Linked DNA regions of Elephas maximus indicus. The protein of the gene in region 1 interacts with the protein of each later gene in a pairwise test. Links are inferred from orthologs where the notes say so. Each region holds a gene or a part of one and is shown in the gene's direction. Other genes may lie near its edges. The genes, in order: SDCBP, LZTFL1, TNFAIP8 and FTL.

What was found.
Region 2: the proteins of SDCBP (region 1) and LZTFL1 interact in binary tests that used the Homo sapiens proteins (3 or more experiments, as listed by UniProt). The two-hybrid records come from large-scale screens. The link is inferred for Elephas maximus indicus from reciprocal best matches to the Homo sapiens genes SDCBP and LZTFL1.
Region 3: the proteins of SDCBP (region 1) and TNFAIP8 interact in binary tests that used the Homo sapiens proteins (3 or more experiments, as listed by UniProt). The two-hybrid records come from large-scale screens. The link is inferred for Elephas maximus indicus from reciprocal best matches to the Homo sapiens genes SDCBP and TNFAIP8.
Region 4: the proteins of SDCBP (region 1) and FTL interact in binary tests that used the Homo sapiens proteins (3 or more experiments, as listed by UniProt). The two-hybrid records come from large-scale screens. The link is inferred for Elephas maximus indicus from reciprocal best matches to the Homo sapiens genes SDCBP and FTL.

What each region holds. Positions count from the first base shown.
Region 1 is NC_064833.1:85,377,144-85,384,933, reverse strand, and holds the start of SDCBP (syntenin-1), read left to right. Parts: upstream 1-4,789; 5' UTR 4,790-4,882; intron 4,883-7,790. UniProt on the Homo sapiens protein: Multifunctional adapter protein involved in diverse array of functions including trafficking of transmembrane proteins, neuro and immunomodulation, exosome biogenesis, and tumorigenesis.
Region 2 is NC_064838.1:50,174,711-50,181,933, reverse strand, and holds the start of LZTFL1 (leucine zipper transcription factor-like protein 1), read left to right. Parts: upstream 1-4,201; 5' UTR 4,202-4,320; coding exon 4,321-4,323; intron 4,324-7,223. UniProt on the Homo sapiens protein: Regulates ciliary localization of the BBSome complex. Together with the BBSome complex, controls SMO ciliary trafficking and contributes to the sonic hedgehog (SHH) pathway regulation. May play a role in neurite outgrowth. May have tumor suppressor function.
Region 3 is NC_064820.1:139,564,509-139,572,349, reverse strand, and holds the start of TNFAIP8 (tumor necrosis factor alpha-induced protein 8), read left to right. Parts: upstream 1-4,833; 5' UTR 4,834-5,161; coding exon 5,162-5,234; intron 5,235-7,841. UniProt on the Homo sapiens protein: Acts as a negative mediator of apoptosis and may play a role in tumor progression.
Region 4 is NC_064829.1:99,378,034-99,384,277, forward strand, and holds FTL (ferritin light chain), read left to right. Parts: upstream 1-4,144; 5' UTR 4,145-4,364; coding exon 4,365-4,466; intron 4,467-4,627; coding exon 4,628-4,774; intron 4,775-5,108; coding exon 5,109-5,234; intron 5,235-5,409; coding exon 5,410-5,562; 3' UTR 5,563-5,723; downstream 5,724-6,244.

The sequences.
Region 1 (7,790 bases):
AGGTGGCAGAAATGGTGAAGCACTGGCTACTAACCAAAAGACCTGAAATTTGAATCCACGGAGATGCACCTCAGAAGAAAGGCTTGGCGATCTACTTCAAAAAATCGGCCATTGAAAACCCTGTGGAGGGAGCACAGTTCTACTGTGACACACATGGGTCGTCATGCACTGGAGGGCAACTGTTTTGCTTTTGTTTTTGTTTTGTTGTTTTCCTTTGTACTTCGAGGGTAACGTGGAACATTAGACTTTTGCGTGCAGTAAGTTCTTTGGTTAGTTGTATCCTGCTGTGGTAATTGTTAACCAGTAAACCAGTTGCCATCCAGTTAATTCCAACTCATGGCAACCCCATGTATGTCAGAGTAGAACTGTGCTCCATAGATTTTTCAATGGCTGATTTTTCAGCAGTAGATCGCCAGGCCTGTCTTCCAAGGTGCCTCTGGGTAGATTCAAACCTTCAACCTTTCAGTTAGCAGCTGAGTGTGTTACCCATTTGCACCACCCAGGGGATCCATGGGAATTGTTAGATAGGTTATATTCTTATTTGTGGATATAGTTTTGTACCAGACCACTGAAAGTCCTGAGGAAAGTAAGATGTTCTGAGAAATAACTACATTAGTGTTAGTAGCTAACCTATGATCATAGGGCTTAAACTGGTATTATGTTTATCTTATTACATCTATGCAAATATTATTCAAAGGTGAACCATAGAGTTCTATGATTACAATCTCCCTTGTTTTTTCCCCAGTGCTGTGTACTCTAAGTTCTTATCATTAATTCATCCCCCACTCTACCAGTGCGTGAATTCCTCACTTTGCTCAAACATATGACTCTTCTTGGAGCGGCTCCTCCTAGAACATCCGTCATCCAGTTCCAGTTCCAGTCAGTATGGTTGCTTGTTAAGCTTCTTGTGTGGTGGTCATCGTGGGATCGCCTTTTAACATCATCCTCTCTCTCCTTTTGCCTCCTCTTGCACTGGAGTCCCTGTGTTGTGGGAACCTCCCCTCCTCCCCATTTTCCTTTTTCTTGTATTCTTATTTTGGTGGAGCAAATGCTCCATTAAGTTCCTGAGCAATAGCTCATGAGAGGTTGTTTTTGTTTCCTAGTGCTGCAACAGAAATACCACAAGTAGGTGGCTTTAAAGAACAGAAATTTATTTTCTTACAGTTCTGGGGGCTAGAAGTCTTGGCTGTGTGGATGCCTTCCTTGTAGGGGGGACCAGGCAATCCTTGGTCCCTTGACTTGTAGACAATTCTCATATGGTTTCTGTCTCCACCAAGACACCCTCCCCCACGTGCATATCTCTTTGCTCTTTTTATAAGTCATAAGTGATAAGATTCAGGACCCATCCAGTTTGGGTATGACCTAATTAACATAAAAAAGAAAACCATATTTCCAAACAGGATTATACCCACAGGTACATGGGTTAGGATTCCAGCACATATTTTAGAGGGGATACAATTTAATCCATAACACATTTAGGGGGACACAATTTAATCCGAAATAGAGGTAAATTTTTAATCCTTCATATATATGAAAATGCCTTCATTCTATCCTTACACTTTGATGATATACTTTGGATCAGTATAGACTTTTAGGTTAGAAATCATTTTTCCCTTTACTTTTGAAGGCATTGCTCATTGTCTTCTAGCTTCAGGTATTTCTGTTGAGAAATTGCATGCCATTCGGAACTCCGGTCCTGAGTATAAGACTTTTTTTTTTTTTTTAACCTTATTAACTATAAGGACCTATTCTTTATCTCTAATGTTCTAAAATTTCACAGTGATGTGCTTTTGTGTGAGTCTTTTTAAAAATTAATTGTTTTAGGAACTCAGTGCATGCTGTCAGTCAGGAGGCACCTGTCCTCCAGTCCTCGTGACAGTCTTGCATTACTTGTTTATTTTTTCTTTAGTTTCTCTTCTGCATTTTGGATGTTGCACCTCCTGGACTGATCCTTGATCTTGATATTTCTCTTCTATTTCCCGTCTCCTTGATTTTGGTTTCTAAAAGATTTCACTGACTTTATCTTCCAAACTTTCTATGAATTTTTTATACTTTCCTGTAAAATATAGACATTTAAACATAAGGTTTTGAATGTTCCTTGCAAATATCATCGTGTTCCTCTTTCATGCATGTACTATTTTGTTTATCTCTGAAAATACTGATAGATTTTTTTATATTGGTTTTTTTATCTGTTTCATCCCATTTCCTTTTTTTTTCTATTTGTTTTGATTTCTATATTTCATGCTAGAAGCTTCCTTTAAGTTTCTACTCTTCTTAGCTCCTATATCTGCTCATTTCAGTGTGCCTCACCTCAGCAAACGTGCCAGCACATTTAATCCACATTCCATCAACCACCAAGTCTTACTGTGTCTTTGTCCTAGTATTTCTTGAGGTTTTCTGCTTTTCTCCATTTGCACCGTAATGGTTGTATCTACATCACTGCAGTAGTCTCCTACAGGACCTTCCCACGTCCAGGGCTTGTCCTCACATCCGGTCCATCCTCTAAGCAGCCCAGAGTGATCTTTTTCATTAGCTTCTGTAAGGTCCTGCCTACTTGTCCAGCTTCATCTGATGCCATTCCTTCTCTTACCCTGTGTTGCCACAAGGGCCTTTCAGCTCCCGGAAGGAATCAAGTTTCATTTCAACTTCCCTTTGCAAGTGCTATTCCCTTTACCTCGAACACTTTCCTCCATTTGTCACTTGGCTAATTTTTATTCGTCAGCTTAAAAGCCACATCTTCAAGGGAGCTTTCCTTGAACTCCTAGACTAATGTTGGTTTCCTTGCAATATCTTTCATAGTCCCCTGAACTTCTTCAAACACCCACCACGACTCTATTTGTGTAATTATTTTTTAATGTCTGTTTTATCAGCTGGAAACCCTGGTGGCATAGTGGTTAAGTATGATGGCTGCTAGCCAGAAGGTCGGCAGTTCTCATCCCCCAGGCGCTCCTTGGAATCTCTATGGGGCAGTTCTACTCTGTCCTATAGGGTTGATATGAGTTGGAATCGACTTGATGGCAATGGGTTTGGGGTTTATTTTATCAGCTATACCATAGCTCCCTGAGGACTAAATTTTCCACCTTGTCATTTATTATTATCCTGATTTTTATCAGTTTTAATACAGTGGCATGAAATAATTTAACTAGAAGAACTGCTTGTCAAGAATTCATATTGGAGTAGAGTACATCTACGGTAACTATGATTAGATGCTCGCAGATAACCTGTGCCTCAGTTGTGTCCTCCTTAAAAGAGGTATGTTCTTGTCTACCTCATAGATTGATGTTAAGGACCCTAGGGGAGGGGGAAACAACAAACCCATTGCTGAGAGCCGGTTCTAACTCAAAGTTAATGCTATACGGTTTCCAAGGTTATAAATCTCTAGGGAAGCAGACTGCCGTATCTTTGGTGCTTTCAAACCGCTGATCTTTCTGTTAGCAGTGGACTGCTTTAACCCTGCGCTGAAATGTTACCACGTGGAAACCCCAGGCTCTGTTTGGCATGAGTTGAATTTGCCGATAAATGAGAGATCGAGGTGGGAGAGCAAGAAGGCAAACTTTATTTCCTTGCGCCAGGAAAAGGAGTCAGTCGCAGCTGCTGCCACTAAGACTCTTCTCTGAAGCCGAGGGGAGAAGTTACTTTTAAGGGGTTTAAAAGTAGGGAGTTCATACAAATTAAGTCGGCAACATTCTTAATCACACTACGCAGGCGCAATTGGGTTTACATACAACTTCTAAGCAAAGAAGGATTTTAACGCAAAGTCGTGGGGGCGGAAGGCAAGCGAATGAAACAAGGATTTTAATGCAACACTGGGGGAAGAAGCCAAGCAAAGAAAAAGCTTATCCTGATGCATAACTGTTTGAGGTTTTGTCTTAACCGGGACTCCACGTTAAGGACCAAGTAAGACCATATACATGAAGTTCTTATAACGGTGCCTGGCGTATAATAAGCATTGTTTTCATTCTGTTTTCGTGTTAGGATACAGTTATGACTTTTGCGCGGTACCACACATGCCCGCATCAGCCAGCGGACGTTAGCTCAGGTGAGCCAAGAGTAACAAATGCCACAGCGAGCAGCGCAGCAGAAGAGCGGCAGCAGTGGGGACGCGGGAGTGAGAGGACCGCTTCCGAGCCTGCGGGCGGAGCGACGCGGCGGGGAGAGAGGGCTGGGCGGCGGCGAGGAGGGCGTGGGCTGGCCGGGAAATGGGGGACGCGTGGGGCCCCCAAGCCTCTTTCTATTGGAGGCGACGGGAACCAAGGGAGCGGAGAGAAGCGCAGTAGCGAGGGGGCGGCATCTGTCCCTTGACGCAAGGGCCTTGGGCATCAACAGCAAACGGGGGGAAAGAGGAGGCGCGCAGAACCGCCGGCGGCCGGCGGACCTTGTGGGGATCAGCAGGCCGCCGCGAGGCCCCGCCCCCGGCCTCCCACCGCCCCTGCATCGCGACGCCCCGCCCCCGGCCTCCCACCGCCCCTGCATCGCCCCGCCCCCGGCCTCCCACCGCCCCCGCGACGCCCCGCCCCCGGCCTCCCACCGCCCCTGCATCGCCCCGCCCCCGCGACGCCCCGCCCCCGGCCTCCCACCGCCCCTGCATCGCCCTGCCCCCGGCCTCCCCCCGCCCCCGCGACGCCCCGCCCCCGGCCTCCCACCGCCCCTGCATCGCCCCGCCCCCGGCCTCCCACCGCCCCTGCATCGCCCGGCCGTCGGCCCGTTACCAAGGGGACCGGTCACCTGACGGCGGCGCCGCGCCTGCGCGGGCGGAAGGCGGGGGCGGGCCGTGACGGGCTTGTGGGCGGCTCCTCGGGTGTTCGCGGTGCGGCTCGTCTGGGGTCCTGGAAGTCTGTTCCTGGAGCCGAGGAAGCGGCAGGCGGCGGATCCCTGGGCCTAGGTGAGCGGCTCTGGGGGCGGGGCGAGTCCGTCGCGCGGTCCGGGCGCGGGGACGAGGCGCGGCGGCGCCGAGCACCTAGCGGAGAGCGTCCGGGGCCCCGGTTCCGGGAGGTGAAACCCTTAGCCCACCCCTTAGCGCCTTTCCGCGCCCCGGGCCCGGGCGAAGTTGGCGGGCGCGGCGCCTTCGGGGTCGGCCAGGTCCTCCTCGACCCTTTTTGTTCCTCCCGGTGAGGTCTCCAGGGACCAGTGAAGAGCGAGCCGCTGCTCGTGACCCGTCGCGGGCTTCGGTTCCTGGCTCGGACATAATCTGCCCTTGGCGGAGTCGGCAAGCCCGGGGTTTGGAGGAGGAAGGAGGTGTTTGTTTAGTGGGCGAAGCCTGGCTTTCGGGAAGGGATGGGGGAGAGGCTGTGCGCTGATTTCTGGAGAAGTTGGACGAAAGGAAGCCGCAGCCGGTAGGGTGTGTTCACAAGGAAATAGCCCTTGAGATCTGGTGACTCACAGCTTTCCTTTCAGGATTTCACTGTAATAATAAAAAAGTGAAACGTACGGATTTGGAAAGTTTTCTTGTTCACCAAAGTGGAATTACTGAATCATGGGGTCTTACAATGTGCCGATTTTCGAGGGAAATTTTTAGGTCTGTGTAGTCTGTATATATTACCTGCGCGCAAATTTACTGTTATTTTCTCCGTTATAAAAGTAATTACTTAGAAAGTACCCTTAGCTTGTCACACTCTTTAACATCCACTGCTTCCAAGGAGACAGTTGATTGGAAAGGAAAATTACATCGAAAAACAGCTGCAGTCTTTGTAAGTTAGATTTACCTCAGATCTATGTAAGTGATTGGTTAAAACTTAAATTTGTCCAATCTTTTCATTTTTCTATTTGAGATTAAGAACAAACAGCCCAAAATGTGAGTGCCTCATTTTCTCTGTTTCCAAATTAGTTCTGTAAGCTTTTGTGCTTTGAAGGGTAGGTAAATATTAGAGGTCAAGTGGTTTGTGCCACAGAATAAAAATAAGAAAGCGAACAACTTTTAAAAGCTTCAGGAAGTAATTATTCAATTGTGATCCCAGCTTAACTTTGGCAGCATTAATTTTTCTATTTTGGGCGTTATGAGAGAGGATATAAAAATCATTGACCAAAAGCGGCTGAATTTAGCAAGAGTTGGCACTTAAATGTACTGTTCAGTAAAATAGTTCCTTAAAATGAGCGAGACTCAACTTTTTTTTCCCCAAAAATTAGGCACATTTTGGGGGGGAGTAAATGCCCGGAGTTTCTAAAAAGAGGCTACGCCATACAACTTTAAAATATTTTTTACATCTCTTCGTTGCCGTGGAGTCGATTCTGACTCGTAGTGACCGCATAGGACAGGGTAGAGCTGCCACACAGGGTTTCCAGGGAGCCACTGGTGGACTCGAATTGCTGACCTTTTGGTTAGCAGCTGAACTCTTAACCACTGCAACCAGCAGGGCTCCTTCAGTTGCCTTCACAATGACTCTGACTCCTGGCGACCTCGTGAGTGTTAGAGTAGAGCTGTGCTCCATAGGATTTTCAATGGCTGATTTTACTGAAATCGATCGCCAGGGCTTTCTTTTAACGTGCCTCTAGGTGGACTTCACCGGACAGCCTTTTGGTTAGAAGCTGTGTATGTTAATCTTTTGCACTACCCAGGGACTCCCTAGTTATATTAAGCCAAAAAAACCAAACCCATTGCTGTCCAGTTGATTCTGACTTATAGCGACCCTATGGGACAGAGTAGAACTGCCCCCATAGAGTTCCCAAGGAGCGCCTGGTGGATTTGAACTGCTGACCTTTGATTAGCATCTGTAGCACTTAACCACTACGCCACCAGGGTACTAGCATTTATTAATTTATTTATAAGTGTTGCCAACTTTTTTTGTGTGTAGGTTTATTTACTTTTTTGAGAAAGAAATGCAGTCACTTGGTTCAAAATTTAACTAAAAAAGGTATGAAGTCTTCGTCCATCTGTGTCCCCTTGCCAACCATTTTCCCGTCTTGTAGGCAACCAACTTTTAAAAGTTTCTTAGGTATCCATCCAGGTATAGTTCATACCTCTGTAAGAAAGCGTGTTTAAGTATACTTTCCCCTTCCTTTCAGTACCAATGTTAGCATACTATATACATTGCTCTACACTGTGCTGCTCTTCTTCTAGTGTCTTCATGCTCAAGTGTGTTGTAGACTGAAAACCTGAATGGATATTGCTGGGTGGAGCGTATCGGCATTTATAGTTTTGATGGATACTGACAGAGGCTGTACTAGTTTACACTTCCACTAGTAATGTTTGAGAGTGTTTCTCCCTTACTGTCAGTGTATTGTCAAACTCTGAATTTTTGCCAGTCCAAATCATATGGGTAAGAAGAAATTATTGTACTCAGAGTAGACTTCAGTGTGGCCGTAATTTCTCAGCAGTTAATCATCAGAATCTCCCTGGATATTTATTAAAAAGACAAGTTCCTACGTCCTTCCATGAAGTTTTTCATTTACTAAATCTGTGTCAGCCTGGGAGACTGTTTTTAACTAGTGCCCCAGGTAATTCTGATGATTAGCCAAGTTTGAGAAACATTGCCCTGGCAGGCCGTAAAGGACTTTATCAGAGTGTGTTCCTTGACACCTCTTAGTTATCTAGTTCTGCTATGACAGAAATGCCACAAGTAGATGGCTTTAACAAACAATTTTTTTTTCTCACGGTTTAGAAGGCTGGAAGTCTGAATTCAGGGTGCCAGCTCTAGGGGAAGGCTTTCTCTCTCTTGTCAGCTCTGGAGAAGGGTCTTTGTCTCTTCAGCTTCTTTTCTTTCGAGATCTTTGTGTGGCTTGGCATTTCTCTTCCCCCATCTCCTCTATTAGCTTTTTTAATTTGTTTTATATCTCAAAAGAGATGGATTCAAGGT
Region 2 (7,223 bases), on another chromosome or scaffold:
CTAAGGCCAAAGATGAAGAAATTGAAGATTTTTACCAACTTCTGCAGTCTGAAATTGATCAAACATGCAATCAAGATACATTGATAATTACTGGTGATTGGAATGCAAAAGTTGGAAACAAAGAAGGATCAGTACTTTGAAAATATGGCCTTGGTGACAGAAATGTTGCCGGAGATCACACGATAGAATTTTGCAATACCAATGACTTCTTCATTGCAAATACCTTTTTCAACAATGTAAACGGTGACTATACATGGGGACCTCACCAGATGGAATACACAGGAATCAAATCAACTACATCTGTGGAAAGAGATGATGGAAAAGCTCAATATCATCAGGCAGAATAAGGCCAGGGGCCGACTGCGGAACAGACCCTCAACTGTTCGTACGAAAGTTCCAGCTGAAGCTGAAGAAAATTAAAGCAAGTCCACATGAGCCAAAATACAACCTTGATTATATCCCACCTGAATTTAGAGACCATCTCAAGAATAGATTTGGCACATTGAACATTAATGACCAAAGACCAGACGATTTGTAGAATGACATCAAGGACATCATACAAGAAGAAAATACAAAGTCATTAAAAAGATGGGAAAGAAATAAAAGCCCAAAATAGATGTCAGAAGAGACTCTGAAACTTGCTTTTGAACATTGAGTAGCTAAAGCGAATGGAAGAAATGATGAAGTAAAAGAGCTGAACAGAAGATTTCAAAGGGCAGCTCAAGGAGAAAAAGTAAAGTATTATGATGACATGTGCAAAGAGCTGGGGATAGAAAACCAAAAGGGAAGAACAGGCTTAGCATTTCTCAGCTGAAAGAACTGGAAAAAACAAAAAATTCAAGCCTCGAGTTGCAATACTGAAGGATTCTATGGGGAAAATATTAAACAACTCAGGAAGCATCAAAAGAAGATGGAAGGAATACAAAGAGTCACTGTAACAAAAAGAATTGGTTGATGTTCAACCACTTCAGGAGGCAGAATATGATCAAGAACCAATGGTATTGAAGAAAGAAGTCCAATCTGCACGAAAAGCATTGGCAAAAGACAAGCCTCCAGGAATTGATGGAATACCAACTGAGATGTTTCAACAAACAGATGCAGCCTAAGAGGTGCTCATTCACTTATGTCAAGAAATTTGGAAAACAGCTACCTGGCCAATCGACTGGAAGAGATCTATATTTGTGCCCCTTCCAAAGAAAGGTGATCTAACTGAATGTAGAAATTATCGAACAATATCATTAATATCACACACTAGTAAAATTTTCCTGAAGATCATTCAAAAGTGGTTGCAGCAATGCAACCACAGGGAACTGCCAGAAGTTCAAGACAGATTCAGAAGAGGACCTGGAATGAGGGATACCGTTGCTGATGTCAGATGGATCCTGACTGAAAGCAGAGAACACCAGAAAGATGTTTACCTGTGTTTTACTGACTATGCAAAGGCATTTGACTGTGTGGATCATAACAAATTAGGGATAGCATTGCGAGAGTGGGAATTCCAAAACACTTAATTGTGTTCGTGAGGTGCCTGTACATAGACCAAGAGGCAGTCGTTTGAAGAGAACAAGGGGATACCGCATGGTTTCAAGTCGAGAAAGGTGTGTGTTAGGTTTACATCCTTTCGCCATACCTATTCAATCTGTATGCTGAGCAAATAAGCCAAGAAGCTGGACTATATGAAGAAGACCGTGGCATCAGGATTGAAGGAAGACTCATTCAGAGCCTGCCATATGCAGATGACACAATGCTGCTTGCTGAAAGTGAAGAGGCCTTGAAGCACTTACTGATGAAAATCAAAGACTTCAGCCTTCAATATGTATTGCACCTCAACATCAAGAAAACAAAAAAATCTCACAACTGGACCAATAAACAACATCATGATAAACGGAGAAAAGACTGAAGTTGTCAAGGATTTAGTTTTACTTGATCCACAATCAATGCCCATAAAAGCAGCAGTCAAGAAATCAGACAACTTATTGTGTTGGGCAAATCTGCTGCAAAAGACCTTTTTAAAGTGTTAAAAAGCAAAGATGTCACTTTAAGGACTAAGGTGTGCCTGACCCAAGCCATGGGATTTTCAATCACCTCATAGGTTGATTTTCAATCAACTCATAGGGTTGCTATGAGTCGGAATCACTCGTCGGCAGTGGTTTTTCATAGGCACGCAAAAGCTGAACAATGAGTAAGGAAGACCAAAGAAGAATTGATACCTTTGAATTATGGTGTTGGTGAAGAATATTGAATATACCATGGACTTCCAGAAGAACAAACAAGTCTCTCTTGGAAGAAGTACAACCAAAATTCCCCTTAGAAGCAAGGATGGTGAGACTTCATCACATACACTTTGGACATGTTATCAGGAGGGATCAGGTCCTGAAGAAGGACATAATGGTTGGTAAAGTAGAGGGTCAGTGAAAAAGAGGAAGACCTTCAATGAGATGGATTGACACGTGGCTGCAACAATGGGCTCGAGTACAACAACGATTGTGAGCATGGTGCAGGACGGAACAGCGTTTCATTCTGTTGTGTATAGGATCACTGTAAGTCAGAACTGACCCGACAGCACCTAACAACAAAAACATGGCACTGAACTCAACTTTTTAGCTTACCCATTGCCTTCAGAGATCAGATCTGGTGGACGTTTTTGTCTTCTGAGCCTGCTGAAATGCCCACTCAATGGACTTTGCCCACCCAGCTCCAAGCCTCTGCTACTTATAATAATCTGTCAGGTCCTACACCTTGGCCTTTCTAGCGCAGCATTTCTTAACGAGCGGATTGTGATCACTCCTGGAAGGTCAGTAAAAACTGTAGATTCCAAGGTCCCAAATTAGACTTCAGGGGGCATCAGATTTCTGGGATGAGGCGAAGGAAGATATTTATTCAGCAAACTTCCCTGATAATTCTGGGCATAATAATTTGAAAATCCGGCTCTCTGTGAAACTGACACCATTTGTGGTTTTTCTTTTTCTTTCTTTTGCTTGTTTTTAGGAAAGTGGTGAATTATGGGTCCAATTGTGTCCCCAAAAAATGTGTTTTGTAAATTCTAACCCCTATCGACTTGATGGCAACGGTTGTTTTTTGTTTTTTGCTTTTAACGTACCTGTGGTTATAATCCCATTTGGGAATGAGTTTTGTTATGTTAATGTGGGAGTACTAGCATAGGGTGGGTTTTAAATCAATCTCTTTTGTGATATGAAAAGAGCAGGCTACGCAAGCAAGCAAGCAGAAATGAGGCGGATACATGGCACATGATCGCCAAGGAATTTAGAAATAGAAGCTGAAAAGAGACAAACAGAGCCTTCTAGAGCCAGCACCCTGAATTCAGAGACCTGGTTGTGCAGTGGTTAAGTGCTCGGCTAACTGAAAGTTTGGTTCTTCGAACGCACCAGTCGCTCCTAGGGAAAAAGATGTGGCAGTCTGCTTCTGTAAGGATGTACAGCCTTGGAGACTCTATGGGACAATTCTACTCTGTCCTATAGGGTCGCTGTGAGTCGGAATCAGCTAGATGGTAGTGGTTTTTAGCCTCCTAAACTGTGAGAAAATAAATTTCTGTTGTTAAAGCCACCCACTTGTGGTATTTGTTGTAGCATCCCTAAATAATTGAGAAAACCAAACCAAACCCGTTGGGTGGAGTGGATTCCGACTCATAACGACCCTATAGGACAGAGTAGAACTACCCCATAGAGTTTCCAAGGTGCGCCTGGTGGATTCGAACTGCTGACCTTTTAGTTAGCAGCCGTAGTACTTAACCACTATGCCACCAGGGATTCCAGATAACTAAGACACGGTGGTAAATTAGAGATTTTGTAGCAGGGCTGTGAGAAGAAAAATGCTGGGCAAGGATAGGGGAGGGTCGTTCAAAGCTCAGGCCTCTATCCAGGACCCTGGCAGGGCTGGGGATGTCTGCCACCATGGGGGCGCCAGGCGGCGGGAAATGTGCCACAAAACCTCAGTCCAGAACAGGAGGGAGGATGAAGGATACCCGAGCTCATCAGGGCCCCAGGCCTCGCCTCTCTTCCCGTTACCCTTGGCAACAGCCGCCGGCTCCCAAAGGTAGCGTGGCATGAAAAGGCGGGACTTCCTCCTCTGGAAGCGAATGCGCATGCGGCAGTGCGCTCGTCACGCCGTACTTCCTGTCGCGTGATCTTGAATGCCAATGAGAATGCAAAACTTCAAGACCACGTGCTCCGTTTCTAATAGCAACAGGAGGCTTCCAAACAACCCGCCTTCCCCTCACTTTTATTTGTGGTCCAGCCACCCTGGACGATCCCGGGTTCGGCCTTTCCTGCTTCCGGAAGCTGGTGACTCCAGCCCGCTGCCATGGTGAGTAGCCCACCCGCTAGCGCCGCATCGCGCCAAGGAGAGAGCTGCGGCTGGGGCTGGAGGCGCGGAGCGGGTGGGCCCCGAGCGATGGCATGGCCAGTGGCGGGTCTGAGTCCCGTTTCCGGGCCTCTGCGAGTACGGAGGCTGTGACAGGCACGGGGGAGGAAGGGATCGGCTAACCTCGGCCGAAGCCCGTTCGGAATAATCCTGGCTGAAGCCTTCTCCAGCAGCCTCGGTCCGCAGCGTCGCCTGGTTCCTGGCTTCTGCTGGGGGACCCGGGCCAAGTCGCGCTTCGCAGGTGACGGGTGAAGAGGGCTGAAGGAAACCGCTGCCAGCAGAAGGCCCAGGGCGGGATTCGCACTCCACTCCGATGATGCTCCAAGTTGTTGTTCTCTTTCTCTGTCTTACACACATGCACACACACACAGCACCCCCACCCCCGTACCCACCTTCCTTTGGTTGCATAAACAAGTTAACTAGCCGAGTAGGAAGAAAGTGATTGAATCCAACTTTCCACCCATTTTGCAGCTGAGGAAACAGGTGATGTTTCCGTTGTTGCAGTCCGTTCAGAAAAGACCACTTTTTCTTGTATGCCGCTAATCCACATATCCCACTTATTCCCCCAGCGGATAAGCGTGCCAGTTTAAATAGCACTCAGAAAGAGCAATGCACAGTACCGATGTGTTCAGAAGAAGGGGTGGAACCAGGGTTGGGGGCACCACTTAAACGGGCTACTGAAATATCCCCTCAGCAACCAGAATTCTATTGAGCTCATCTACTTTCAAAGCAAGGCGCTCTGGTGGCGCAATGGTTAAGCACCGGGCTGCTAACTGAAAGGTTGAGGGTTTGAACCCACCAGCGGCTCTGCTGGAGAAAGGGCCTGGAGATCTCCTGCAAAAATTACAGCCTGGGAAACCCTGTGGGGCAGTTCTACTTTGTCACATGGAGCCACTGTGGGTTTCAGTCGACTGGATGGTACACAACAACACTGACTAGGAGCTGAATGTAAAGCTGTGAACAAAACAGACTACTGCATACTCTCCTTGAGCTTAGTGCCTGTTCCACTCATTCTCTTGATTTCCCCAAAATATCATGAGAAAAAGTGTAAAAAAATGATGACGTTAGAACAAATTTACATCTGTTCCTTTCTGTCTTCTCTCATCCCTTTCCACTAACAACAGGCTCGGTTTTTTCCTTAGTAAACCGCAGATGATAATAATTACACAAGGGTTGTTTAAACAACAAGATCATGCATATACAATAAAGAGCACAGTACCTGTAAAAATGTTAAGCACTCAGTGTATGGTAGGTTTATTACTCTATGCTCATTTTTATCATTACAGTTTCTTCCTTTTCATTGTGAAATTGTATCTGGCTTTGTGGGTATGGTTCAGAGCAGGAGACCCCCCTGCCACCATCACCACTTCTTAACACAATTTCAAGACACTAACTTCCTGCTCTGATGGGATTTCTTGCTCTATTTTCAGCTCTTTCTGATAATTTAATAAAACATTTCTGCAACAACATTTTTAAAAATTCTGATTTTCCTGTTTGGATACCTCCCATTGTTTCTAAATATTTTAGAGCTGACCATATCTCTCTTTCATTTAACAAATGAGGAAACTGGTGTTGGGGAGGTGAAGTGACATGGTGATGGCCACACAGGTAGATAGTTATGGAACTAGCCTTAAACCTGGCTTTTAACCCAGTGCTTTAGCTCGCATCAGCCTCTTCCTTTTTCTCTCATAATGACCTGAACCCTGTGCACATACGGGGAAGCAAGATTTGTGAATGGCCTCTTCCTAGACTAATGCTGTTTTTCCTACTGAACTCAGCTGTCCATTTCTGCTCCCTTCCCTTGTTCTTATTTATTTTAGAGGGACTTCTCTGTCCTTTGTCATAAATTTTATCTTTCTCGGTTTGAGTAAGTTCTTTTTCTTCTTGGTCCTGACTGAACCTGTTGCCATCAAGTCAATTCTGACTCATATCCACCCTATAGGACAGAGTAGAACTGCCGCATAGAGTTTCCAAGGAGCGCCTGGTAGATTCAAACTGCTGACTTTTTAGTTAGCAGCCATAGCACTTAACTGCTATGCCACCAGGGTTTTCCTAGGACTGGTAACTGTCCTTGGCAAGAGAAAATAATTAACCGATAGGATTTGGCCGTGTACTCTGCACAAGGCACTGTGCTGGGTGCTGCGGGGTGCAAGTGATGACTCCAGGCCTCACAAAGCTTACCATCTAGTTGGAGCAGCAACACCTGGAAAAAAGCGCACAGATAACTAATAGTACAAGTCCTCATCCGTCTGTGGTGGTGCCAGATAAGTAGCAGAGATCAGTGTTTTTGAAGGAAGGCATGACTAGAGCTACTGGGGTGGGTTGGGAGGCTTCACAGAGTAGGGAGAACAGATTAGGCCGCGAAGGCTGGGGAGGAAGTCAGTGGTGGAAGGGAGCATGCCGGCAGCTGGTGAGAGTCAGTTGTCTGCCTCCCTTCTCAGCTCAGCATCGGTCACATCACACACTGGGAGTAGTCACACTAGGAAAACCAGCAAGTGCCACAAATCGGAGCTCCTCCTCCCACCCCCTCAGTGAACCAGATATTCAACATTTGCCAGCACACCACTGGGTAGGATTCAGAGTCTCAAATAGGAATGGAGAGGCATTTTTAAGCAAGGATCAGGGTAACATGAGTACAAGTCGAGGCAGGAAATTTTAAGTTGTGTTTCAACGCTGATAAGCAGACTGGTTTGGCTAAAGTTGAGTGTTTATATAGTAGAATCCTGGGCAACAGGGTTAGAGAAAGTTTCGAGGTGTCGGGGGCTGAAGATTGTAGATTTAATGCTATAGGCAATGAAGAATGATTGAAAATTTGCATTTTGTGGTTTACATTTTTTTAGCAA
Region 3 (7,841 bases), on another chromosome or scaffold:
CAGAGAGAGTGTCTGAGGATGATAGGAGAAATGCAGAGTCTACAGCCCTAACCAGGCTCAAAGCACAAATCCTTCCCACATGTGAGGAGAAAGATCTAAAGCCACCTTTATTAGGTCATGGAAGTCGTATAAGACTTTCAAGGGTATTAAAAAAAAAAAAAAAGTAAATAATACAGGAAAAGATGAGGAAAGCCTCAAAATCAGATAGAAGAAAACCACTTTTTATACTAAGAACTCTTTTCTTTCCCCTGACCTACATTTTGTATGTACAGATTTATCCTCATATCAGCAGTGTAGAAATAAAATATTGATGATATGACGGCTTTTGTGACCTGAGGTTCCTATGACCTAGAAGCCACAGGCATATATAACTAGTTTACAGAGATGCTTAGTTCTTTTCACTGTGGAGAAATTATAACATTCGTGAGTATAAGCAGAGTACGTGATACTGTCAAAATCAACCTCACCTCCTGCTTCCCAGTTCTGCTGGTCTTCTCATGTGTTGTCTTGAAAACTCGCTGTCCTCCCCTCTTCTTAGCAGACTCCTGGGTATGTGTGAGCAAAAGGCCCAAAGGCCCATGCTTTTTTTTTTTTTAACAGTTTTGTTGAGGTATGGAATCCTGTGTGATACAAACAGTTAATGTGCTAGCCTGTGAAGTACAAGGGTAGAGGTTTGAGTCCACCCAGAGATGCCTCTGAATAAAGGCCTGACAGTTTACTTCCGAAAAATCAGCCATTGGAAACCCTGTGGAGCAGAGTTCTACTCTTGACACACACGAGGTTGCCATGAGTCAAAACTCCATAGCAACTAGTTATTGAGATGTAATTTCAGAGGAGATTTTTCTGTTCCCATGTGATAAAGTTTATTTGAGAGATAGTGTTGAAACTTTCCTGGGAGCCAAGAAGACTTGGAAGGTTGGATTCTTTAGATCAGTATGCTCCAGGTCAGCAGGTCTTATTTACATGTGTGACACATGTACATTTTTGATAATAGAAACCATCAGAGTCTTAGGCAGCATTTTAACTCTCCCATTTTGATACAGAAGGTAGGAGATTGCTTGTAAGAAATGAGTAAGAGTTCAATACAGTATTTAATGCAGCTTGGTATTAAATGAGAAGTGTTGCTGGAGATTGCTTGTAAGAAATGAGTAAGAGTTCAATACAGTATTTAATGCAGCTTGGTATTAAATGAGAAGTGTTGCTAACTTATTTATTATCTTGTATCAGGCAGTCCATAATACATTGTTGGTATGACTTCCAAACATACTGCTAGATGAATGATGTTGGCATGTTTCTTGTACATACTAGAGTGAACAGGTCCCATCTATAAGAGATACAAATCTTTTACAATGTAGTGAACCACTATTCACTGGGGCTAAAAAATAACACCCTTTTGAATAAAAACACTGCAAAGTCAAGATGAAATGGCCAACCTAGTATAAATCAGAAGAGTAAGGAAAGAGAATGAGCTGCCCTTTGGCATCTTTTGAGGGGTGGGAGCATGGAGCAGTATAGTTTGCCTGTGGCAGATGGCTTTGAGGTTATATCTGACAACAGAGGAGTGTCCTTATCCACACATAATCTTTTAAAATAAGCTGAGCATTCATTGCTCTTGAGCTAGATAAGGACATTCTTCCTCAAGGTGACTGCTAGATTGTATTTAAATACAAAAGAAGTTTTTCTGTAGGTTTCCTAAGGATTGTTGATGAATGTTCAAAGCTCAGCTGACCTGTTAAAATGACAGTAAATTGAATTACAAGGCTGACTTGGCGCTGGAACTGTTCATTCAGCAGGTGTTCTCCTTGGCTAACCTGAGAAGGGCTGGAGATCTTTTTGTGAACCTAGTGTAAAGCAAGCAAAACAGCTGAGACAGGGAGATTACAGCATTTATTTTAACACAGCTAATGTGGTTTGGGCACATTGGACTTGGAAAAGGACATTTAATAAATACTTCTTATGGGGGTACACATTGGACTTGCAAAAAGGACATTTAATAAATACTTCTTATGGAGATACTGGAAACCCTGGTGGCATAGTGGTTAAGTGCTACAGCTGCTAACCAAAGGGTCAGCAGTTTGAATCCGCCAGGCGCTCTTTGGAAACTCTGTGGGGCAGTTCTACTCTGTCCTATAGGGTCACTATTGAGTCGGAATCGACTCGACAGCACTGGGTTTAGTTTTTTGGTTTATGGGGGTACTTTCTAAAAGGAGAGAATAGAAGCGAAGCCTGCCTGGGGGGTGGATCAGGTGTGAAATTTTAGTTGTTTAAATTTCAACTCCAGGGCATCAAGTTTTTGTTTTTGAAATTTGCATAATCATCACCTTGAACCAGTTTTCAGTATTAAACTAATTATGGATCAGTGGAAGCTATTTATCTGTGTAGCACACAGCCCTGGTGGGATCTTGAAGGGCTGCTCAAGGACATCTGAACTGAGGTAGGGAGGGCAAAGGCAGATGCATGAGGGTAGGACAAGAAAGGCCACTTCTGACTGGCAGGCCTTGCTGGAGAGGTATTGCTTTGTGTTCAGAATGAGTCTCAGCTCAGGTAGGAATCATGTCTCCCCCATAGGTCTGAGGGTACTGAGTGCAAGGTATACATCTTAGCAGCCCCTGACTCAGGATGTCTGGCAGAGGGGACTATGCAGCTAACTGCCACTTGCAGAAAGGGGGGCCTGTTAGCCTTTGATGGCAAGGCCAGTTTCCGGGAGGCTCTGGAATACTGATATTTTCCAGATGTTTCTCTTCTTCTCTCTTCTCTGGCTAGTTAGCCCTCTTCTCATCATCCTGCTTTTTTTCAGAGAATTTGAGATAAAGTTTTGCTTAGAGTCTTAGGCCTGTTAGAATCACTCAGCAATATCTAGGCCTCATGTCAGTATTTATAATAACCTTCACTGCTTGTGAATAGCATAAACACTCTTTTCAGTTCAAATCCAATAGTAATTTATACTGAAATAAAACTTGAGCGTCTTTTACGTGACAACGAGACTTCAGCTTACTTACTTTGGACATGTCATCAGGAAAGACCAATCGCTAGAAAAGGACATCGTGGTTGGTAAAGTAGAGAGTTAGTGAAAACAAGGGAAACCCTCAAAGGGAGTGACACAGTTGCTACAACAATGGACTCAAACGTACCAGCGGTCATAAAGATGACACAAAGACAGCAACATTTTGTTCTGGTGTAGATAAGGTTGCCATGAGTTGGAGCCCACGCGAAGGCACCTAACATCTGTTATAAAAAATTAACTTCTAGTGCTGCAGTGTTGTCAGTTTCGACTCCTAGTGACCCTATATGACAAAATAGAACTGCCCTATAGGGTTTTCGCACCCCTGGGTTTGGTGGTTTTTTTTTTTTTTTTTTTTTGGTGGTGCAGTGGTTAAGAGCTTGGCTGCTAACCAAAAGGTCAGCAGTTCGAATCCACCACCTGCTCCTTGGAAACGCTATGGAGCAGTTCTACCCTGTCCTATAGGGTTGCTGTGAGTTGGAATAGATCCAAGGCAACGGGTTTTTTGTTTTGTTTTGGGGGGGTGGCTAATAGGGGTTTCTTGGCTGAAATCTTTACAGAAGCAGATTGCCAGGTCTTTCTCCTGCAGAGCTGCTGGGTGGATTCAAACAACAGCCTTTTGGTTAGCAGCCCAGGGTTTAACCGTTGCAGTGCAGTAGTTAGCGTTAAACCCTGTAGTCCTTTATGTTTTTCAAATAACCTGTATTACCTTATTTAATACCAAGCATAAATCCGTGAAGTAAGTAATAATACTATTTTTATCCTCATTTTACAACTGAGGAAATGGAGGCTCAGAGATCCTCTTTACTTAAGGTGATACAAATAATAAATGGCAGAACTAAACTTTAATTCAGTCTTTGAATCCGTATCGTTCGTCTATTCTTTTCACTAAATTTACCTTAGTGCCTCTACTCTTTTTTTTTTTTGAGAAAAAAAAGCGTCTGGAAATTAAATTTATTAAAAGAATATGACTCTGCTCACAATTTCCAAAGCGATCTTTCAGATATGTAATTTGAGGACTGTTTGCCTTAGGTTGGTAATAAAACCACTGCTCTGCTACAAAACGCTTCCCCATATGACAGGTATTTCGGTGGCAGCTATTGTCCCCGGTTCTCAAATGGAAAACCGAGGTTCCAAAAGCTAAGCTGACTTTTCGGTGGGCCGGACCCCGGGGCGGGACTAAGATCGGTTCTCAAGGCTCTTTATCCTCTTTATTCCATCAGCGTTTCTAAGGCTTGAATCGCCGCCACACCCCGCACCCCCGCACCGCCGCCTCTGGCGTTTTGAAGCAGTGTATCACTAGTTGCTAGTGCGCAAGAAGGTATGGGTATGGTGCTTTATGTGAAGGCCACCATTTAGTGTAACTGCTGAGCAATTACTACTGCCTGGTTGGGGTCTGGGTAAGAATGCTTGCCAGGGGCTATGCTGAGCAAGCGGTCCCATCTGCATTTTCTGTACAAAGGTAAGGATCGCAGGCCCCCCGACGTTCTAAAGACCTGCTCTTGGGCTGGCTCCCAGTTCCTTGTGAAGCTGGTCCTTAGGTCCCCGTCGACAACATCCGCATTACTTTCTTTTGCAAATCATGAATGCAACCGAGCAGCTTTAAAATCTATCATTTTTGGCATGTAAGACCCAAGACAAGGGAAGTCAGATGGGCGTCGAAAAATGTAACCCAAAGATGCAGAAGCACTTCATTTGCTGCGTGTAGATATATATATATATATATATTTTTTTTTATGTAAAACTGCAGCTAGCACTGAGACTTGTTATCCCTTTATCGCATGTCTCTTTCTCTAGCGCAGCCGATTTCATTTATGTTTGTCGTTTGTGGACTGGCGCCCCTGGCCCTGCCTCTTGGGCGTCATCGGGCTGTGGTCCTGGCCGCAGCCCCACCTGCGTGCGCCCAGGCCGACCCAGCCGCGCCAGGTTGTCTCCGCCCAGCGACGGGGCCCGGCGCGCAGCCCCGGGGGCGGCTCCCGCCACCCAGCCGAGACGCGATTCGTCACTGTTGCAGAACTTTCCCCCTGAAAATCCCTGCACCAGAACCAGCCCTCCCGCCCCGGGGAGGTTTTGATTTAAGTGACTTTCCTTCCTTTTATTTTCTGTTGGGTGCGACTGTAAGTTTTGGCTGCAGAGCGAACTTGCAGCTCCTCCGAGTACATGTCTACGGTAATCGCCTCTGCAGCCGGTTACCCTGACACCATGCACTCCGAAGCAGAGGAATCCAAGGAAGGTACGATTGTGGTTTCTCTCGGGGCGGGCCAAGTTTTGCTGAGGAATGTGGAGGAAGGGAGAGTTGGGAAATGGATGGGAGTTTTAAGTGCTATAGGTACTTTGTCCGATCCCTGTGCCTTCGCAGCCAGGTTGGAGATGGACATGCGGAGCCAGATACCCATCTCGGCTCCGTTGTCACCAGGCAGCCGTACAGAGGGGAAGGGAGGAAAAACCCACAAAAGGCTGCTTTTTAGATTTCTCTGGGAACAAAACAGCCCGAGTATTGACTCGAAGAATGCAAAATGTGTGAAAGGGCTGCCTGCCTGCATCAGGACAGCGGAAAACTGGATCTCTTCGAAGAGCCCGGAGAGTTGTGGGTCCCTTGAAAAGGGGTTTCAGAAATCGAAAACGTGTTTCCGGCCGAGAGGAGAAGCTGACGAAAGGGGAAGACGTGAAAAGGACTTTATTTGGGGAATGGGATTTTCTTTTTCTTTTCGCCCCCTCCCCCCGCTGGTTTTTCAGCTGTGAGTTCATTTAGGGGGGGCAGGGGACTCGAGGAGACCTGAGAGATATGAGGGGAGCCTTGTGCAGCTTGAAACTGAGGAGAGTTTGTCTGTTTTTAACTTTGCCAAAGCAAAGGGTTTCATTTACTCCTAACAGAGAACGGGTGACAGGGCTGGAAAAGTTCCAACCCAAACACAATTATACGCTGGTGTTAGTCTGGGGAGTTTATTTGTGTGTGAGTGTTTGTATGCTTTGTTTCCTGAAATTTTATGTATACAAAAGTCCTCTTGTGATGGTGGGGGTGATTGGGGAAAACAGAGTAAGAGGGGGAGACTGTTCAAGATTGTGAAATTCCTTTTCTTTTCAAACAGCCTCTTGAGAAGCTGATAAATTTTAAGTCAATCACTGGGGCTCCTGCAGGGCCAGGAGCAGGAAGGAGCCCCATCACTTCTCCATTTGGTAGACATCACGTAGGGAGGGCACTTGAAACTTGTTCCCTTTGGTCTCTTACTTACTTTCTGTGTAAGTAAGACTCTGTGTTTCATAATGTAGCCTCTGTGGGCTGACATTTACTTTGTTATGCTGTGTGAGGGAAATAGTCAATAAAAAGGAAGCTTGGTTAATAGGAATATGGGGCTAGCATGAATGAAAAATGACAGCCAGGAGCATTGTTTTCGAGCTTGGTGTGGGGCTTGGTGGATGAATGTTTCTTTGCTGTGGCCTCCGTCTTGATGGAGCTCCGTGCTAGTGGACGCTTTTCTTTTCTGAGTCTTTATACCTACAGTTCAGAGTAAGGCAAAAGTAGTTGAAGGCAAATAGGAACTGAGCTGAGAAAATCCAACGGTCAACTTTTGTATGAATGGCAAGTAGCACTTAAATGGGAGTATTCTCCCAGGTATATTTTTCCTCTCTTGGTAAAGAGAGAGTGGGGAGACAGCAGACAACAGTATCCTGAAATATGTACTGTACATTCATCTAGCAACATCCACAATCTTCCTTCGTTTCCCAGCTTTCTGGTTATAAGTTTGGAAGCGGCCAGCAAACTGGAGCGTGAAGAAACCCATTTAATAAAAAAGGGGAAGACAGTTAAAAGGAGGATGTCAACAGTTTCCAGAGGATGGTGCTTCCTGAGGAGATAGGCCAATGGCCACATTTTTAGCATTTAGTCGCTTCCTGTTGAGTAAAGCTACTTAATTGTGAAATAGTAAAAATGAATGACAGTTAAGATCTGAGGACATTTCTGGTGCTGAGAACCAGAGCTCCTTGGTCCTGGTCATTATATCTGTGGTATCATAAAGCAAGGAAGCCATTGTCAGGAGGGGTTGCTTTTTGAAGACTTGAAGGTAGGAAAAGAGTAAGGGTTGAGCAGTGAGTAAGTTCAGTTCTCTATTGCCCATAGTAGCCGTTCCCAGGCACCACCTCTCCCTGTTCTCTCATGCCTCACCAGGCCTGCTGTTTCACAAAGAAAATAGTACCAAATAGACAACTCCCTCAGCTTTCTCCTCCCAGACTGACAGACTCACTGTCACCCATACTCACCCCTTGATGTTTGTGGAACAGGTGTTGCACCTTCTGCAGAAGGCCACTCCTTTCACCAGCTCCTCCCTAATCCCTACGCCCCTTACCGCATCAGTTGGCCCTTTGTCTTTTCTGGCTTCTTCCCTTCTGCAAACAGACATGCTCAAGCTCCTCACTTCAGGGCCTTGGTACTTGGCTCTTCTTTCTGGCAGGAATATCCTTCTCTACCTCACCCCCTTTTACTGGACAGCTCCTTGGAGAAGCTTTCCCTGAGCCTCCAACCTAAACTAGGATATCTGTTGCCCTCTCTTACTGCACCGGTTCTTTCATCTCTGGTATCCACCACATTTTTTAATTATATGTTACCTTGTTTAACACGTCTTCTCCTCTAGACCACAAGTTTTTGATGGAAATCATGTCTGTTTTATCCCCCACTGTAGCTCCAACACCTACACGGTAAGAGGTGCTCATTCAGCATTTGTAGGATGAGTGAATGATCTCCATTCTGAAGATAATCCTCAGCACGTTTTCCACTTTGAGCCATTGCCTTATCCCTGTCCTATAAAGTGAACCTTTTTTTTTTTTTTTTTCTTTAAGTGCTCTT
Region 4 (6,244 bases), on another chromosome or scaffold:
TCTCTGAGTCTCTGCCTACCCCTCTCTGGGTCTCTGTATCCCTGTCTATCTGCCCCCCTGCCCTGGGTCTCTTTCCTCTTCTCTCTCTGGGTCTCGATCCTTCTCTCTCTGGGTCCCTGTCCCCCCAGGTCTCTTTCCCCCACTCTCTGTGGGTCTCTGTGCCCCTCTCTTTCTAGGTCTCTGCCCCCCTTTCTCTCTTTGGGTCTCTGTCCCCCTTTCTCTAGGCTTCTGTCCCCCTCTCCCTGGGTCTCTGTCTTTCTCTCTCTATCTCTGTTTCTCCCTCTCTGGGTCTTGGTCCCTCCCCCAGGTCTCTTTCCCCTGCCTCTCTGAGTTTCTGTCCCCCTCTCTTTCTCTCTTGAGTATCTGTGCCCCCCACCCCCATGTCTCTGTCCCCCTCTCTCTTTCTCTGGGTCTCTGTCCTGAGTATCTGTCCCCCTCCCCATGTCTCTGTCCCCCTTCTTCTGTGTCTTGGTCCCCCCCAGGTCTCTTTCCCCCTCTCTGAGTCTCTGTCCCCCCTCTGGGTCTCTGTACCCTTCTCTCTGGGTCTCTGTTCCCCTCTCTCTCTGGGTCTCTGTTCCCCTCTCTCTCTGGGTCTCTCCCCCCGACCCCGGTCTCTGTCCCCATCTCTCTCTGGGTCTCTGTTCCCCTCTCTGGAACTCTGTCCCCCTCTTGGGTCTCTCCCTTTCTGGTCTCTGTCCCCCCCTCTCTGGATCTTTTCCCCTTCTCTAGGTCTCTGTTCCTCTCTCTCTAGGCTTCTGTGTCCCTCACACTTGGGTTTCTGCCCCCTCACTCTCTGTTTCTTTCTCTCCTGCAACCTATGGTCTCTACCCCTCTTCTGATCCTCTCTGTCTCAGCCCCTCCTTTCCCTCCACTTGTGGACACTTTCAAAATCCCCTTTCCATAGGTGGGGCTTGCCTGGGGCTAAAGGTCTTTAGGCTGAGGAATGACAACTGGTCAATCAATAACTAGGCCTGACTAACTAGGTGGCTCAGGTCACTTACCCTCCCCCCTCCCCCATGTGCTCTCCCCAGAGACACTAAGTCCAAGCCAGACACCAAGTCAGGTGAGAAATGTCGGAGATATATGAGCTGAGACTGAGCCCCTGACCCAGAGAGAGGGAACGCTATGGCCACAGGAAGAATCTCCAGGAAAGACATAAGGGAACTGAGATAAAGTATGACGTGGAAACAAAAACATCTTGGGGGAGGGGGCCACAGGCCTGGTTCTGAGGGTCTCAGTCAGACCAATTGCAGCTGGCCCTGAGGGGATGAGGTCAGGGGAGGGGGGCCCTCCCACCTCAGTCCTGGTCCCCTTCCTGTGCCGAGCTCACCATGACTCAGCATAGCCACTCACCCAGACGGCCTTTGTTGTTGGGTGCCGAGGACTCAATTTCAACTCATAACTACCCCCATATTACAGAGTAGAACTGTCCCATAGGGTTTTCTAGGCTATGATCTTTAGATCTTTATGGGAGTATATTGCCCGGTCTTTCTTTCACAGAGCTGCTGGGTGGGTTTGAATTGCTGACCTTTGGGTTACGAGCCAAGTACTTAAACTTTGTGCCACCAGGGCTCCTTAACACCAAAACCAAACCCATTGCTGTAGCGTCACTTCTGACTCAGGGATCACCTTTTGGTTAGCAGGTGAGCTCTTTAACCACTGTGCCACCAGGGCTCCTATACACGCCCCTTAGGGACCCCAGATACTGGCCCAGCCTTGGCATCCACAGATCCCCTGGGTGAAGGGCTACCCCGCCTGCACTGGCTGGCGTGGCTGCTCTGCCAAGCAGACCTGACCTCTTACCCCTCCCCTGTGACTTCTGTTCCTATGCCACATGAGCTACCTCCATTACCGACTCATCTAGGGTCCAGTTGCTGTCTTTGTACCTTCCTCCTCTACACAACCAGGAGACTTGGTTGGGCAGTGATTAAGCGTCTGGCTGCGAACAGAAAGGTCAGCCTTTCAAACCCACCCAGCAGTTCCGTAGGAGAAAGACCCTGCTTTCATAAATATTACAGCCTGGAAAGCCCTATAGGGCAGTCGTACTCTATCACTTGAGGTCGCCATGAGTCAAAACCTGTCTTGATGGTACTCAACAGGGAGCTCCTTGAGGGCAGGGCCCTGCTTTGAGTCAGCTCTGCCTTCCCAGTCCCAGTATGAGCCTGGCTCACTTAAAAAAATGTATGTACAATGAAGACAGTCTCCTCCTAGGTCCCCAGGCTCTCCTAGTTTCCCGAGAGACCCTGAAGTAGTGCATATTGGGCTGGACACCCAACTACCTCTGAGAGGTCCCTTCAGGGCCAGAGAGAATTTCCACAGTCTTTAGACTGCCTCCAAAACAAAGAAACCCAATACGATCAAGTCGATTCTGACTCACAGCGACCCTATAGGACAGAGTAAAACTGCCCCATAGGGTTTCCAAGGCTGTAAATCTTTACAAAAGTAGACTGCCACATCTTTCTTCCAACAAGGGGATGGTGGGTTCCACCACAGACTTTGCGGTTAGCAGCTGAGCACTTAACCACCGAGCCACCAAGCCTCCTAGCCTCCAAAATAGTTCCCAGGAAATGCAGCCCAAGAGACCCCCCCCCCAAGGCTCTAACGTTATTTCCTACACACACCCCAATCTCAGCATCCAGAAAAACACTGCTGTTTTGTTTTTAGGTGCCATCCAGTTGCTTCCAACTCATAGCAACCCTGTGTACAACAGAATAGAACACTGCCTGGTCCTGTGCCATCCTCACAATCCTTATGCTTAAGCCCATTGTTGCAGCCATTGTGTCAATCCATGTCCTTAAGGGTCTTCCTCTTTTTCGATGACCCTCTACTTCACCAAGCATGATGTCTTTCTCCAGGGACTGATCCCCCCTGATAACACGCCCAAAGTATGTGAGATGTAATCTCGCCATCCCTTAAAATAGCCCCAAGGTATCCTGAAAGCCCAGACAATTCTTCCAAGATTCCAAGAGCTCTTGAGGGTTCCTGAGTCCCCCTACCTCTCAAAAAGTCCCTGTTCCTGTTAAGTGTCATTGACTCAATTTCAAAACATAGTGAACCTATGTGAGCCCTGTTGGCACAGTGGTTAAAGTGCTTGGCTGCTAAATGAAAGGTTAGTGGTTAGAACCCACTAGCCACTCTGTGGGAGAAATACCTGGCCATCTGCTTCCATAAGGATTACAGCCTTGGAAACCCTATGGGGCAGTTCTACCCTGTCCTATAGGGTAGATATGACTCAAAATGGACTTAACAGTAATGGGTTTGGTTTTTTTTTTAATGTTTGCGGGGAGCAGACCACCAGGTTTTTCACCTGCCTGCCAGGTGGATTCGAATTAAAATAGTGCCTAGATTTCCAGAAACACCCCAGCCCTTGAACCCCAAGGCTCCAAAACCACTGCTTTTCACAACTTGCAGATTCCTCTGAAGGCCCTAGAGACCTCCCCCAGCTTCCAAGAAAGGCCTCCAAAGAAACAGACTTCTTAGATCCAACTCTAAAGCTAGAGAGACCTTCCACTTTTGGGTAAACACTAGGGAAACAGCTCTCCTATCCCACAACCCAGCGAGACCCCCACCCAAAACCCAGTGCCATCGAGTCGATTCCGGCTCATTGCGAAGCGAGACCCCCAGGGTTCCAGAAATACTCTTCTTGGGGCCTTCCAAATTTCCTAATGACCGGGAAACCCCTTATCTTCCACAAGCAACCCCCCCTGCACCTCTAAGGAAGCCCCAGGGTTCTAAAAGAGTCCATGCTTTCAGAGACAAGCCCAGAATCCTACTTCCCTGAAACATCCCCAAGACCCCAGGATCATCACCGCCCAGGGCTCCCCAGTGTTCCCATAAACCTCCCATCTTCCAGAGCTGCCCCCAGAATCCCCCGACTTTGCGAATAAGCCCCAGGACCCTGCACCCACCGAACCCGCCTAGCACCCACTTCCTCCCCGCATTCCCATTTCACAACAGTCTCACGCTCCAAGCGCGTGACTCCCCAACCCCGGGGGGGCTGGGGGGAAGGGGGGAGGCGCCTATCTGTTCTGGATTGGTCAGGCGCGGGCTCAAGTCCCGCCTCCCGCCACCGCGGACTGGTCGACAGATCGCCCTGAAGCCCCGCCTGCGAGGAGCCGCATGCTATAAAACACGCCGCCCTGGCCCCCACCTTCCTTAAGCTCGCTCGGTGGTCCCGTGGATCTGTTTCTTGCTTCAACAGTGCTTGGACGGAGCAGACCCGGGGACGCCCTACCTCCAGCTTCGCGCTACCTTTCAACCTCGTCTCCTACGCGCAACCTCTGGGACCATCTTCTTGGCCATCCCCTGTTTCCAGGACCAGCTAACACCGTTTTTTGTAGTTAGCTCCTAATCGTCGACGAACCATGAGCTCTCAGATCAGTCAGAATTATTCCGCTGAAGCGGAGGCCGGCGTCAACCGCCTTGTCAACCTGCATCTGCGGGCTTCCTACACCTACCTCTCTCTGGTAAGGGTCCCCGAGACGTCCCCGGCCCATGTTTTCCCTAGCTGCGCACCTCCGGCCCTGTGCGCACGCGCGGACCTTCTTTGTCCCGTTGGATAGCAGAGGGCGGAGTCCTTCGCCTGGCCTCGCCTTCCATTAACCTTTGTTCCCTCTACCTCCCGCAGGGCTTCTACTTCGACCGCGACGATGTGGCCTTGGAAGGCGTGGGACACTTCTTCCGCGAGCTGTCGAAGGAGAAGCGCGAGGGTGCCGAGACTCTTTTGAAGCTGCAGAACCAGCGTGGCGGCCGCGCCCTCTTCCAGGATGTGCAGGTAAGTGGCGTGTGGGCCACGGACTACATCTCCCAGCAGGCCTTCCGCACAAGGCATTTGGACAGCTGCTCTGTAGGCGCTGTAGCGGATTCTTAGGAGATTGGGTTCGATCCTGTCTGGGTTTGTTTTTGGGCGAAGTAAAGGTGCTTTCCCAAGTAGTGGCCGGCCAGGCTACTGGGTGGTCTCATGGGAGGCAAAGTTGTAGGAGGCTTGGCGTGATAGATCAAGCATCCTTGCAGGCTAGGTCCATTATCCTCAGGGACTTCTGGGAAATGTAGGTTTTAGGTGTTTGCCAGATGTGTGAATAGTTGTGAGTCGTCTTTTTCTTGTACAGAAGCCGTCCCAAGATGAGTGGGGTAATACCCTGGACGCCATGGAAGCTGCCCTGGCCCTGGAGAAGACCCTGAACCAGGCCTTTCTGGATCTGCACGTGGTGGCTTCTGCCCAGGCAGACCCGCATGTAGGTACCGCCTTCATCCGTTGCAGCCCCTCCTCAGACCTTCCCTGGCGTTTAACCTTACAGTCTGAGCTTGCTTTCTTCTTTGATTTACTGGGCAGATTGCTTTCTGAGGACCACATTTGCCTCCCTCTTTCTCAGGAACTGCGTTTCTTATTTCTCCTTTCATATTCCTCAGCTCTGTGACTTTCTGGAGAGACATTTCCTAGATGAGGAGGTGAAACTCATCAAGAAGATAGGCGACCACCTGACCAACATCCGCAGGCTGGCCGGGCCCCAGGCTGGGCTGGGCGAGTATCTCTTTGAGAGGCTCACCCTCAAGCATGACTAGGAGCCTCCAGAGCCTCCTGTGAGGGCCCCTCTGCAATCTTCTGTCCTCATCAGGCTTTTGCCTGAATTTCTCCCTTTAGCTTTTAGGCAGCATCTGAACCACCCTGGAGGGCCCTCTCCCAAGCCGTGGACCAAATGGAAACAATAAAGCTTTTTGCAGCAGCTACTGGTGTTGTGTGTATGGTGTGGAAAAGGAGTTATAATCTGTTTTCACAGGTCTTCAGGCTGTGCTGGCAGGGAGAGGGGGCCCTATCTTTCATTATCTTATATTCTAAGGCAGGACTTTTTCCAGGGGGTTGTGTACGGGGTAGCTTCAGTTCTGTTTGCCTTGGCTGTTAACTTTCTCTCCTTGATGGTAGAGCCCAGACTCCAGGGAGGGTTTGGTGGCAGACCCAGGCATTGTTACAGGGAGTAAAAGTAATTAGAAACAGGTGTTGCTTAATGAGCAATTATGGGGCCAGGCTCTGTGCCAACCTCTTAAACAGCTACTATCTCTGGCTCAATCCTTGGGGGTAGATGAAATAATTATCCTCATTATATGGGGAAATTTACGACACAGTTAGCTGCTCAACTACTAGCTGAAAGGTCAGTGGTTTGAGCCTACCCAGGGATGTCTTGGAAGATGGGCCTGGATATCTGCTTCTGAAAGGTCACAGCCTTGAAAACTATTGGAGTGCAATTCT